2 linked regions of the Chlamydomonas reinhardtii genome follow. The protein of the gene in region 2 binds, or shares a complex with, the protein of the main gene of each other region. Links are inferred from orthologs where the notes say so. Each region holds a gene or a part of one and is shown on either strand. Other genes may lie near its edges.

Region 1 (7,787 bases), on a different chromosome or scaffold from region 2:
CCGGCACATGAGGCCGACGCCGACGCGGCAGAGTCGACGCTGCGCAGCGTGGAGGCCGCGCCGGCTGCAGCCGCCTCCGCCTGGCGCCGCGCCTCCGCCAGCTCCGCCCGCGCCGTCGCGAGCTCGGCTGTACGCTGCTGCAGCTGCTCGTGCGCGGGCGCCATGACCTCCTCAACCACGCGCTGCACCGCCTCCAGCGTGTCGGGGCCCTTGGACAGCTGTATGGAGCGCTTGAGCACCTCCACGTAGCGCTTGTTGCTCTGCTGCGCCGCCTCCGCCTCCACCAGGCGCCCCTCCAGGCTGACAGCCCTGCATATACGGTACATTGAAGGCGCGCAGGCCTTGGGTCAGATGACAGCTGGGAGGCAGCGTAGCAGCCCCGGCCGACTCGACACAGCGAGAAGGAGGCACTAGAGCGCATGGGTGCCCACTGGCGGCACACCATCTCATCACGCGAGCGCTCACCTAGCGTTGGCCTCCTGCGCCTCCCGCTGCGCGCCCGCAACCTGCGCCCGCAGCCCTTCCAACTGCTGCTGCAACTCTGTGCTGCTGGGGCCGGGCTGCAGCGCCGCGTGCGCCCGCTGCGCCCGCAGGAAGCGGTCCTCGAAGTTCCGACGCTCCTGGTCCAGGCTTATCTGTGGTTGGGTGTGTGAATGTACTCAGCGCAACTAATATCAAGGCAACTCAAAGAGGCCCCGTAAAGTCACGCGCATGTGGCCCTTTGCAAGACCGCTGCATCATGGCTGCTTTGGCTATGACTCTTACGTTCTTCTGCCTCAGGGAATGCAGCGTCTTGTGCAGCTCTGACCGCTCCTCCACAGCCTTGTCCAGCTGCCGCCGCAGGTGGTCCAGCGTCTGGAGGGCCAGGGTTGAAAGAGTGTGAACAGTGTGTCGGAACACTAGCACACGGACAGTTCTTATCATGCCACAAACCTCAACATACATCTTGAAGCACTCTCGCCGGCTGCCGCAATGACTCACCAGCTCCATCTCCCTGTCCCGGCGCTGCAGGCGAGCCACCTCTGGGTCCGGCGAGGTCGGGCTGCGGCTCCCGGCGCCCGCTGACTGTGATTGGGATTGCGACTGAAACGAGGTGCCCTCCCGCGGCGACACGGCCGCCTGATCCTCCCGCCGTGCCGCGGCCGCCGCCTGCTCACGCGCCGCTGCCAGCTCCCGCTTCAGCTTGTCGTTGGCTAGCCGCAGCCGTGACATATCAGCCTCCAGTCGCTGCGGTACACGCGCCAATGTGGATCAGCAAACAGCAACCAACATAACCCGGTAGCAGCAACTGTGCATTCAGTTGACCAGACATAAGGCCTGTGGGCTCTACTACCGGCCATCCTTGCACACCTGCATCATGTCAGAAGGGTCATCATGAAAGCGGTCGTAGGTGGGCGCCACCACGCGGCGCGCGCCGCCGGGGCCCACGGCGCCGGCCGCCGCGCCGCCGCCGCTGTTGCCACTGGTAGAGCCTCCCCGCCGCACCGTCACCTCCTTGCTGCCACCGGGTAACAGCGCGTTCAGGCGCAGCTGCGTGGATTTGAGGTCGCGCTTTAAGGTGGATAGCTTCTCCTCGTAGCTGTGCTTCTGGGCCAGCAGCTGCGTGCGGCAATGCAAAGTTGTGGGCGCAGCAAAGGGCACAAGATTAGCCACGTGCAAACACATATATCAAGCAGTTCGCCGCGACGAAGGTACTAGGGCCATGGACTCGTAGAGGTTGGCTTCGCCAGCCCAGACCCTGTAACACCCAGCGATATACACGCTGGCCACGCTCGCACCTTGCCCTCGTATTCCTGGTTCTTAGCCTGCAGCTTCCGAATGGCCTCCTCCTGGCTCTCCAGCTTCTTCTGCGCCACGTTGGCCGCCACGCGCTCCTTGTTTGCCTGGTCGCGCAGCTCCTCCCGGGCGCCGCGGTCATTGGATTGCTGCTGTGCCTGTGCGTGCGAAAAATGCGGCAGGGGAGTCAGCTAGCGCCGGCTTGCGCTTTCCCCTGCGGTCCAGCACGGTCCACCACAGCGCAACCTGCCACCGGCCGTTTAGCGCATTTATGTAGCGCTGTGCAAGCCCCTGCTCCTCGTATCCGCCCTTCCTCCGGCCACTCACCATCTGGAACAGCAGGTCGATGACAAACTGTGCCTGGCTGGTGGAGGGGCTGAGCACATTAAGAACCTCGCTGCCCACATAGCCTTGGCCTGCGACACGCAGTGGTTGGGGGGAGGCAGGACTGGCGTGGTTGGTCAAAGTCCCTGAGAAGCGCGCAGGGCGCCTGTTTCTCTTATGTTCCCGGTTGCATCGCCAGCGCGGTCGAGTTGCTGTCGGGCCCAGGTGTCAACCATGTGGCCCGCACCTTTCAAGTACGCCTCGAGGCGATACGTCTGCTCAAGGATAGACTCCTCTGACGGCCCCGAGCTCGCAACATCCATAAAATGCTCCATCTGAGAGCTGGCGAGAGCGCGTAAACCAAGTTGACGTCGCTCCCCCCGAGCTAGCGCACTCTCCTTCCAGTCCCTAACGTGAGCCCACAACGCCCCACGGGTTTGATAGCATCTTCATTGGAATCGATATGATATGTGCAAGCTCAACCGGCTCGTTTGGAGGGCACGGTCCTATTCCAGACTACAAAAGCTTGCGAGTTGCAACAAGCAGCAGTGTGGATGCGTGGAAACTTTATTGCATCATTATCCATGATTATACGAGATTTACGTTTGCTATTTGCCTAGTTCTGCTGTCTGCCGAATTTGCGATGGGGCATCCCAAATTGGAACCAGTTCCCTAGCCTCAGCTCGCCCCAAACCAGCCCTTTCACGCGCTAGAGTTGCTCCAGATATAAAAGACGACAAAAGCTACCTTCTGGCACTTAAACTTGCTTGCTTTAGAGCACAGGGGCGAAGCAAAGCAGCCTGTGAGCCCTCCAAGCGCCGTTGACATGTGCGAATTGTATAATTGACACACAACGCGACCTTGACAATCTGACATACTGCGACTAGCGTGCCTGCTTTGTGGGGTCTGGCAATTGCCGAGCTGCGCCAGTGCTTGCAAGGCACCTGCTTCTTGCCTTGAGCGGGCAACTTGAGGCGCGTGCGTGGAGATGGGGGGCGCGGACGTGCAGGCGATCACCATCGCCGTGACGACGGGGAGAGACTGCGCCATGAGCGGGGATTACTCCGCGGGGTGCACGTACTATGAGAACGCCGTGGAGCTCATCACTCGGTAAGCAGCTCTATACCGGTGGTGTGTCTGTCATGGGCGCCGGGGCAGACTGCACGCAGTTGGACAGGGGGCGGCGGTGGGCGCACCTGATGACAGCCAGCTGCCAGCCGCGGCTCCACGCGACTCACGGCACACGCGAGTGCCCCCAACCCTCGCACACGCACACGCACACATACACATGCACGTGCGTAACTACAGCAACATATACGCGCATACACATGCAAATAACACACAGGTACGTCCGCACGCTGGGTGACCCACACGCTATCCGGCAATGGAGCGCGCTGCTCAAGGAGGTGCAAGATGAGCACAGCAGCGTACGGCAGTGCGACAAGGAGGCACGGGGCATGCGCGTGTACGACAGCGTCGCGCGGTCCAACAGCTACCCCGAGGTGGGTGGGCTGTGGGAGAGTGTGTGGTGTGGGCGGGCTGTGGCACATGGCAGGCTCTGGCACGCTCGGGTCCTGATCGGGGCTGGACGTCATGGATGTCAGCTCATGTGTAAGCATTTGAATGTGTGCCAGCACTTGACTACCAGTGTACGGCAAATACTGTGCCCTGGAATCGCAGATGAACGACCCTCGTGGCTCGGCGGCCTACGATGACGGCTACCGGCAACCCATTGTTGTGGTGGGTGCCGGAGCGCGTATGGTGGCGTACGCGTTGAATACTTTTTGGGCTGCTAACCTGCTGTGGTTGGTTGCTGTGCCGAGTGCCGACCTGATCTGTCCGGCGCCGAAGACTCTCTTATCACCCAAATTCCCAACGTTTCTTACACCGCCAAGTTTAGCTGCCCCACGAACTAAGTTGTTCGGGTATAACCGAACGATTCGCTTGCGCCCTGTCATCGCGCTGCAGTGCCACAACTCGGGCCAGGAGGACCCCATGGTGTGGCGGCCGCCCACACGCGGCGAGGGCCGCAGCGGCGCGCCCGCCCGCGGCGCGCCGCCTCCCCGCGCACGCTCCAGCCAGGATGACAACAAGCTGCCCTCCTGGGCTAACAACAACAACGGCGGCGGCGGCGGTCCGCCCGCCAGAGGCAACGCGGCGGGGCCGTCGGGGCGCGCCGGCTCGGCGCCACGGCGACCGACAGGTCGGCGCGGGGTTGCGGGAGTGGGCCATGCATGATGCCTGTGTGGGCCTTGAAGAAGGCATGCAGGGTGGCAGGCCAAGTGTACCTGGATATGCAACGGGATGAATCCGGCTGTGGTGGAGCGCAGGTCGGGGCGCACATGAGGACTGTCGGACCAAAGCCCCATCCTCAACATTGCTGGTCGAAACTGTTGGTCGCCCCGCACCTCCCCGCTACCTGCCGTGCAGGCAACGCGCCGGCAGGGAACGCTGCCGCAGGCGGCAGTTATGACAGGCCCTGGCGCCAGAACATGCAGGGGAAGCAGGGCGCGGCGGGGCCAGGCGGCAAGCCTGGCGACAAGGGCAGCGCGGGCGAGAAGGCCAAGAAGCAGTACTCGGGTCCGGACCAGGAGCTGGCAGCCATGCTGGAGCGAGACATCGTGGACCAGGGAACCAGCGTCAAGTGGGTTCAAGCATTTGTTTGTGGGCTCTTAGTGCGCATTCATGTGATGGGGATGTAGCAGATGTGTCATGGGGCGCTGGTCGGGCGTCGATAAGTTTATACGGCTTGCGTGTTGCTTGCTGTGCGCGGTATTCAGCCGTGCCCAGGGCCGTTGTGTTTGGGTGCTCGATGGGATGTGGTGCCGCCTCGCTCGCAAACCTCCCCACGGTCCACTCGCTGCCGCCCCGGCGCTGCTGTGGCCCCACGTCGCGCACGTGCACACATGCGCGTGTTCTGTCCTGCGTGTTTCCTTCCCGGGCGCTTTCTAACACGTGCGCGTGCGCATACAGGTGGGACGACATTGCGGGTCTGGAGGAGGCCAAGCGCGTGTTGAACGAGGCGCTGGTGCTGCCCATGATCATGCCCGACTTCTTCACTGGCATCAGGAGGCCCGTCAAGGTAGGGCTGGCGCTTGAGGCTTAAATGGGATGGGCAGCTAGGGTGGGCAGTCGTTGGGCTTTACATGTCACATGTGCCGATGTGTGGGTTGGGTCGCATGGCACTGGAGGCACTTATGGGGCGTTTGAGGTGCTGAGTTGAGACGTCGCTCCTGCGCCTTGGTGCGGCTTGCAGGGTGTGCTGCTGTTCGGCCCGCCCGGGACCGGCAAGGTGAGCGCGGGCGCCCCACAATGTCATGTACTCGTGCATTCAAGGACCACAGTCGTTCTCAACCTCGCTCACGTGCGCACCCGGTGACCCATCATCCATCATGTCCCATCCCGGCCAACCACTTTGTATCCCCGCGACATTTGTATCCCCGCGACAGACCATGCTCGCCAAGGCCGCCGCGACGGAGACGTCGTGCACCTTCTTCAACGTCTCCTCCGCCACGCTGGCGTCCAAGTACCGTGGCGAGAGCGAGCGCATGGTGGGGCTGGCGGGTGGCTATAGGGTTGGTGTTGTGTCTGGGGCGACAGATGGGCTTGGTGCTGGGGACCGGCGCTTTGCGGCTCGACACCTCTGCCCATGAGCCCATGCACCCATCTGCCCCTCCATGTCTTCCCTCGCGAGCCCAGGTGCGCATCTTGTTTGAGATGGCCCGCGACCTGGCCCCCTCCATGATCTTCATCGACGAGGTCGACTCGCTCTGCTCCCAGCGCGGCACCGCCAATGAGCACGAGGCCAGCCGCCGCGTCAAGACGGAGCTGCTCACGCAGGTGGGCGCCTGCTGGGGGATGGCGGTGGTGGGGGGGGTTAGGGGTGGCGGGGTTGTTGGTGGTGGGCATGTGCTGGCACAAGAGAGTGTCTGGTGTTTAGGGGCCGTGGCCAGCGGCGGCTGGCTGCTGCGATGCGGCATCCGGGCATGTGCCTCGATGGCATGGGCATAAGGTAGAGGACAGGCGGCAGGTTCATGGTCGTCAGTATCGGGTATGACAAGTGGTAGACAGGCAACGGGTGGGCGACAACCTCGCCTCTTACTGCTGCGCTCACCAACCTCAATGTCTCCTCAGGTGGACGGCGTGCACGGCAGCGAAAAGGACAAGGAGCCGGGTCCCGACGGCGAGCCGCCGGCTCCCAAGCACGTGTTCGTGCTGGCAGCCACCAACTTCCCCTGGGACATCGATGAGGCGCTGCGGCGCCGCCTGGAGAAGCGCGTGTACATCCCGCTGCCGGGGCAGGCGCAGCGGCTGCAGCTACTCAAGATCAACCTGCGGGTGGGTGGCGGGCATTGTAGAATGGGCTGGGTTGGTTTGATTGTGCCTGGGCTGGTCGTGTGGCTTTTGCGCACGGCCCTACGCCAGTGCGAGCCCCCACCTGTCATACGTGCCCTTGTGCACTCCGCAATCGCAAATCGCACACCACGCAACATACCCACCAAAATAACATACCCACACCCACAGGACGTGGCAGTGGCACCGGACGTGAACCTGGAGGCGGTGGCGGGCCAGATGGACGGCTACAGCGGCGACGACATCACCAACGTGTGCCGCGACGCCGCCATGAACGGCATGCGGCGACTGGTGGCGGGCAAGACGCCGGCGGAGATTAAGGCGCTGCGCGAGGCGGGCATGACGGGCGGCCAGGTGCGAGGTGCCAGCCTGCCGAGCTGGGCTGGGTGGGTAGGCGGTTGGGCCAGGGGCGCTATCCGAATGCCGTACGTACAGTATGTCGAGTGTGTGTGCACCTGCTGCAAAACGTACAATAGGTGCTGCAAGTTCGCTGAGCTCCGGATGCCTTTACGAACTCCCATGAACAGGAGCCCATCACGTCCGACGACTTCCGCGAGGCACTGCGCAAGATCAACCCGTCCGTGTCCAAGGAGGACATCAAGCGGCACGAGGAGTGGCTCAGCGTGTTCGGCAGCACCTAGCCTGGCGCCTTTGCGCCGCTTCGTGCTTGTGTGTGTCCTGCCAGTTTAAAAGCATGGGTGTGCATGGGTGGCGTGGCAGGGCGTGGCGGGGTGGAGTTCATGGCCCGTCCGGCGTATGCCTGTGTGGTGTGGCACCAGGCTCGCAGGTAACGGTGTCATGCCAGTAAGGGCTGGGCACACTTGGCGTGACACAACAGCAGGTGGCGACTGAATGACGGCAGGCTGGTGCATAGGGCATGTGCGCGCTGCACTTGCGTGAGCGGTGTGTGCGGTGTGGGTTCAGAACGAATGTTGAGTCTGCTACGGTAGTCGTGCCGGGTGGATGCTGCATCGTGCGTGGATTTGAAGCTTGGGCGTCCGAAATCTCGCGAAGGTTGTCAAGGGAGGACGTCGGGAGGGGGGGTGGACGCCTACACAGAGCAGCGGGACGCCTTGGGGGCGGGGCACCCTTCCGACGGCAGCGATGGGCTCTACCTGGCTCTACCGTACTATGGTGCACTAGGCACAGGGAATGGAGAGCCGGACGGGATACCAGTCTAACAATTCTGCCTGAAGCAAATCGAGTGAGGGAGCAGTCGGGCTCGTGGAGAAAGCTTGAGGGCGAGGGTATAAATGGTCCAGGCCGGGGTCCCCTGTTGTGCGCCATGATCTCGACGCATCGGTCAAAATGCTGACACTCTTTTGATTTCGGTG
Region 2 (5,794 bases):
ATGATGGCCGCCGTGGTGGCGGACCCACGCGAGTACGTGGTCAGCGTGCGCGTGGACGCGCGCTTCGCACACATAGGTGAGAGCTGTTGTGTTGCCGGCACCGTGCACATCTGGTGGGCGGTTGTGAGGGGCGCTGTCTGTGTGCCGTACTGTCGAGGGTGCAGCGCACATCCGGCAGCCGCCAGGATGTGCATGTGCGGAGCTCCTGCTTATGTTTTACTATCATACGTGCAAGCACTCGTGCTATGCCGATACCTCCAACCTGTCCATTTGTTCCCAACGGCACAAGTAACCTTGCTTGCAAACCTCTCGTGCGCCGCCGGCAGGCCGCACCATTGAGTCGGCGGGCCTGCGCCACCTGCGCGGGCTGTTCCTGGCGGACCTGCAGCGGCAGGACGGCGCCACCGTGCCCTCGCCGCCGCCCACCACCATCATCCTGCAGGGCGACAAGCTCACCTTTGCGGGCGACATCCAGGGCATGCAGCACATCCTGTCGCTGCCCGGCCTCACGCCCATCAGTGAGTGGCGTCGTGTGGGCGGCGGTTGCCTCGGCTAAATGCTGCCTGGGACTTGCATGGGTCTAGGGCGTAGGCCTTGGTGAGCTGCGTGGCGGGGTCTGTAATCCTCGTACTGTAATAACCTGTCGGCGCCGCCTCCGCCACTGTGTGCAGGCTCGGCGGACCTTGCGGCGGACCTGGAGGAGACGGTGGCGGGCTCGCCCAGCAGTGACCGCATCATGGTGGAGGCGGTGAGTGGGGTTGTGCCGCAGGGCGTGTGTACGTGTGGCTACGGCATGGACACGACTCCCAGTAGTCGGCCATCGCGGGTGGGTGAGCAGCCGTGTGCTCTGCGGCCCGTGGTGCACCACAGGAGCGAACAACATACCATACACGCACACGGCTGTCAAACGCCTGTAGACGCAATATACCAACTGCCCCAGACCTCGCGAGGGTGCTTGCACCTGTCGTTCGCCTCACCGTGTCTTGTCGCGCTGCACTGCACCTCCCGCAGGTGGTGTCGCTGAGCAGCCCCATCTGCAACATGACCATTCGCGACAGCCACTTCCGCTCGCGCTACGGCGCAGTGGTGCTGGCGGTGCACCGCAACGGCGAGCGCATTGCAGGTGGCCTCGGAGACATTGTCGTGAAGGTGCGCGCGCTGCCAGCATGTACACAAAGGCTTTATATAGGCGCGACCCACTTGCCCTAAACTCCCAGCGCTCCCCCAGTGTGCAGGGCAGCTCAGTGCGCAGTTGACGTGTCAGGGCGCTAGTGGGGCAAGTGACTAAGACCATGCTCGCCCTTTGGATGGCGTAATCCTCCCCAGGGTGGTGACACCATGTTGCTGGAGGCGGGGCCGGACTTCCTCCAAAAGTACAAGCACTCTACGGAGTGGGCGCTGGCTGTGGATGCCTTCCGGTGAGCAGAGAAGTAATGGTTCTGGAGAACGACTGAGATGGCACCGCGCAGGCTGACGCCGCAGCTCCTTAGGTGGCCCCGCTGCTGCGAGGTCCTCTTCATCCAATTGTGAACCGTGTGTGCCGGGCTTTGCTTTTGTAACTGCGCAGGGTGACGCTGCCTCGTCGCGACCCGCTAGCGCTCTTCATGTCGTTGGGCATCTTCATCGCGCTAATCGTGCTCAACAGGTAAGGTGGCTGGCACTCCTGGTCAAGGGGAATGTTTACGACCGGGAAGCCTGTGTCGAAATCAATGCGCACATCATGAGTGGTTTTCTGCATTCTGCACCTGACCACGCCCCTGCCCGCCACCTCCCATATAACCGCTTTGCCCGTGCGGTGTGCCGTACCGGTACTCCCATCAATACAGCTGACGCTCAGCCCCTTGCTTTGCCGCCCCCGCCCCCGCCCCTGCAGCATGGACGTGTTGCCGCTGTCCACCACGGCGCTGGTGTGCCTGTTCGCGTACCTGATCACCGGCGTGCTGACGGTGTCGCAGTGCCGTGCCGCCATTCCCTCGTCCATCCTGCTCACGGTCGCGGGCGGCTTCGGCGTGGCCAAGGCCATGACCGTGACAGGTGCGCTCATCACAGCGCCTGGCCGCCTTGCCTGCCTGCCTCCCGCTGCACTTGCGACTTCCCAACGCCTCTCCGGCTGGTCCTGTCGATGGCCTGGCCTGCCGTGGCCCTCATGGATCACGGCGCGCTTGCAGCGACGCCCGCTCTTTGCCCCGTGTCAAAGCAGGTATCTGTGCAAGCAGTACGCAATGCATCGATGTCGATGCCAGCACAAACCTTGTTCATGCCGGTGCTGACAGGACTGGCGCACCGCCTGGCCGGCTCGCTGCTGAACGTGTTTTCGTGGATGGGCCGCGCCGGGCCTGTGGCCGCCATCTACGCCTCCACCAGCCTGCTCACGGCGCTGCTTAGCAACGGAGCCGCCGTGACACTCATGTACCCCATCGCCCGCGACCTTGCAAAGCAGGTGCGTGGGGCTGGTGCGCTGTTGCGTGTTTATTTATGCATCCCGGTCAGCCCCGCCCACGCTAGCTCTTGCTCATGCGGCCGCGCCGCACTACGTGACCCTGCGAGTGCTGTTTGCACGCCTTCACACACACAGCGGCTCCTGCTTACCATGTGTGTTGCCCCTCCCTCATCAACTGCTGACGACGCCTTCGATTTACGGCTCCCGTTTTCAGGCCGGCGTGAGCATCAAGGGGCCGCTCTACGCGCTAATGATCGGCGCCTCGTCCGACTTCTCCACGCCCATCGGCTACCAGACGAACCTGATGGTGCGTTTGCTGAGTTGCCGAAGGCTGTGGCAGGGGGCCGCGCAGGTGCAGGCACGGGTGCAAGACGCAGAGCTGCTACCAGAGGGGGTCGAGGGCCGAGAGCGCAGCTGCGTGGTATAGGTTAGCTGGGCGGCTGGGCCACGTGGCACGAGAGGTTGGAATGTGTGTGTTGCCCTGACAGCCTGCGCCCTGTGCTCTTGCGTGCTCGTGCAGGTCAGCGGTCCCGGCGGGTACCGCTTCCTGGACTTCACGCGGTTCGGGCTGCCGCTGCAGTTCGTTGCGGCCCTCATCACCGTGCCCATCTGTGTCCTGTACTTTGAACCCCGTACTTAGTAGCAGCCGAGGGTCTAGCGGGCAGGCGGTCGCTTGGAGCAGTATTGGCTTGAAGCCCGGGAACCTAGCAGAGAGGCGCGAACAGAGCAGCAGGGGAACAGCTGCTTGCATGGCGGTGTGGTGCTGTACTGATATTATAGGATGGATGTTAACGGTAGAGAGGAGGTTCGGGAGTTGGCGCTAGGCAGGAGGCGAAGGGAGCACGCGGCCCATGTCGTGCGCGCGAGCGTGGGGGCTCGGCCCTGCTCATCCTTTCGGTGTGCATCTGTACTGTAGGACTGGAAACAGGCGATGCGTTGCACACGTGTGCGGTGTACTGTATGCTGCGGATTCCTTGCGTCCGCTATGTCTAGTGGAATGGCATGTGCACTGATTTCGCGTTCTGTGTGCTGGAGGATTGCGGTCCGCAAAACGGCGACGCAGCGATCGCGAGGAGGAGGCTGGCTTCAAGCGTGCCCGCCAATGAAGCCCCCCATCCATGCTTGGCACGTGCTTAAGTGGGGCAGCTCTAGGGCTGAAGTGCTCTAGGTGGTGACGAAAGTGCACGGGTATTGAACGGGATGTTTGCGGGCGAGTGATGGAGATGGGCATGGTCTGACGGCCCTTGGGCCGTAGACTCGGGTGTGAGGCGATAAGAGGCCATTGAGGCGCCTTTCGTGGACTGTGGTGACGGAGGCTTCTGACGCTTCTGATAGTCTGGTACTGAGCAACGGATGAGGCGCACACGATTGGGGCATGAGATCATGCACTATGTATGTAGTGCAGGCATACGCATTAAGCAGGCGCAGGCGCACCGCCGCACCGGCAGCGCTACAGCATGTGGGTAGGAGGGCACAACAGGAGGTTTTGAGCAGTACGGTATGGCACATTTAATGTCAAGTGCTGTGGTGGTGGACACTGGATGTGGCAGCAGTCTCGGTACATTGACACACAAGGACTCTGCTCCATAGATGAAGAGGAGTCGAGGACGAAGGGCGAATAAGTCCGACTCGGGGGCAGGAGACTGGCTAGCTGCTGCCAGTCCGTAGTAACGGAGAGGCTTCTGAAGCTTCTGACCTCAAGCCCAGCCGTGCATGGATGCGGAGGACATGCTTTGTGTCTCGGGCTCGGGGCGCTGTAAATATACACGTCAATGGAGGTTACAGCTACTTCTGCGCAGGTTTGGACTTCTATCCAAAACGTGGACCACAATGCAAACGCAGCCTTGAGTGCCTTGGCAAGCATTTACACTTGGTTCAGTGTTCAGTGTTGGGCAGGAGGCCGGTTCAGCTGCGTCTCATGCCACAAGCCCACAACCATCAATCACAGCCCATGCCCACACCATGCGTGCAGGCCTGATCACGTCCATTCGTCCTGCAGGGCCACCCATGTCGCCGTGTGCAATGCGCGCTGGCCCGCTGCCCCGCCAGCCACCAACCACGCATCACACCAGCCACCTCCACGCCTCCTGCTTTTCCCGGGACTCTTGCGGCGCATGCATGGATGCACCATCTCCTCCTCCGTTCTCTCTGCCATCACGCACCACAAGCACCAGCGCTCGCTAGAGCTGCGCCAGCTGTGCTGCCAGCTCGCCCGCGCGCACGCCCAACGTCTCGCTTGAGCGCGCCAGGCTGTTCAGGCGTGGCACCATGTTCTGAAGCACCAGCTTGGCCTTGGCGGCGCGCTCGCGCCGCTCCTCAAAGCTGAGGTCTATGCCCACGCCGCGCGCGCCCGGGCCGCACAGGTCCCGGATGACGGGCCCAAAGGCGCGTATGTGCAGCGCCAGCACTTCCAGCCCCGTCTGCTGCTGCCGGTCCGAAGGCAGCGACAGCACCGTCTCCACCACCGTCATCACCTGCGGGAGGAGGGGAAGGGGGCAAGGCGTGAGCTGCATTGCGCGCGTGGCGTGAATTTGGGTGTGGTTGGTCCTGATGGTCCTTGCACGTGCATCTTGTCCCTGATTTGTCCTTTACCGGGTACGGCTGGCCGCGCCGGGCATCGGCCCCGCCACGTCGATACTGCTATTAAAACGTACCAGAACACGCGGCTTCCCGGCTGCTGCATCTGCTGCCTGCCACAACTCACCTCGCCCACCAGGTCCAACGTGAACACGTCCCGCCGGTCGTGCATGGCGGACAGCAGGTCCGCCAGGGCCGCCGTGTCGTCGCCCCGCCGCGCCGCGGCGATGGCGTTGCGCCAGTCGCCCTTCTGCACAAAGTTTCGCATGATCATGAGCGTGTTGGCGCGCTTCTTCATGGCCGACAGGAACATGCCGTGCCGGCTCGACAGCGCAGACGCCGCCTCCAGGTCCGAGGGCACCACACTCGCGTAGCCGCCTCCGCCTGCGCCTCCGCCTCCGCCGCCTAGCCGGTCCATGCCGGAGGGGCCGGCGGCTGCGCCGCCTGGCCCCTGCCAGGGGTAGCGCTGGTCCATGTCCCGGTCCTCGCCCACACCAACCCCCACTCCGACGCCCACGCCGCGGTCCGGCCCTGACCCCGCGCCGCGGTAGCCGGGCCCTGACCCCGCAGACCGGGACGCTGGCGGGGCGGCCGGCGCGTGTACCTCGATGGTGGGCTCCCGCGGCTGCGACCGCTGCCGCGCCAGGCCGCCTCCGCCTCCGCCAGCCATGCGCGACAGGTCGTCTGGCTGCAGCTGCCCGCGCATGAGGCTGTCGCCCACGCCAACGCCGATCGACACCATGCCCGGCCGCGCGCCGGCGGCGTGCCCCGACGCCG

The links.
Region 1: CHLRE_03g160450v5 (region 2) and CHLRE_10g427600v5 share a complex: the UniProt entries of both Arabidopsis thaliana proteins name them as parts of the KTN80-KTN1 complex. The link is inferred for Chlamydomonas reinhardtii from reciprocal best matches to the Arabidopsis thaliana genes AT5G23430 and ERH3.

The regions. Positions count from the first base shown.
Region 1 is NC_057013.1:1,317,488-1,325,274, reverse strand, and holds CHLRE_10g427600v5 (uncharacterized protein), read left to right. Parts: upstream 1-2,817; 5' UTR 2,818-3,088; coding exon 3,089-3,210; intron 3,211-3,445; coding exon 3,446-3,602; intron 3,603-3,780; coding exon 3,781-3,840; intron 3,841-4,068; coding exon 4,069-4,303; intron 4,304-4,530; coding exon 4,531-4,744; intron 4,745-5,073; coding exon 5,074-5,182; intron 5,183-5,356; coding exon 5,357-5,392; intron 5,393-5,549; coding exon 5,550-5,651; intron 5,652-5,799; coding exon 5,800-5,940; intron 5,941-6,234; coding exon 6,235-6,438; intron 6,439-6,624; coding exon 6,625-6,807; intron 6,808-6,980; coding exon 6,981-7,094; 3' UTR 7,095-7,713; downstream 7,714-7,787. Other genes in the region: CHLRE_10g427650v5 (uncharacterized protein), read right to left, coding at 1-309, 466-635, 766-855, 982-1,227, 1,351-1,599, 1,779-1,934, 2,104-2,192, 2,348-2,435. UniProt on the Arabidopsis thaliana protein: Severs microtubules in vitro in an ATP-dependent manner. Required for oligomerization of functional KTN80-KTN1 complexes that catalyze microtubule severing. This activity may promote rapid reorganization of cellular microtubule arrays.
Region 2 is NC_057006.1:2,570,394-2,576,187, forward strand, and holds the end of CHLRE_03g160450v5 (uncharacterized protein), read right to left. Parts: coding exon 5,145-5,794; intron 4,915-5,144; coding exon 4,621-4,914; 3' UTR 4,208-4,620; downstream 1-4,207. Other genes in the region: CHLRE_03g160400v5 (uncharacterized protein), read left to right, coding at 1-76, 327-518, 672-748, 1,012-1,149, 1,327-1,418, 1,568-1,645, 1,874-2,034, 2,274-2,440 and 2 more. UniProt on the Arabidopsis thaliana protein: May participate in a complex which severs microtubules in an ATP-dependent manner. This activity may promote rapid reorganization of cellular microtubule arrays.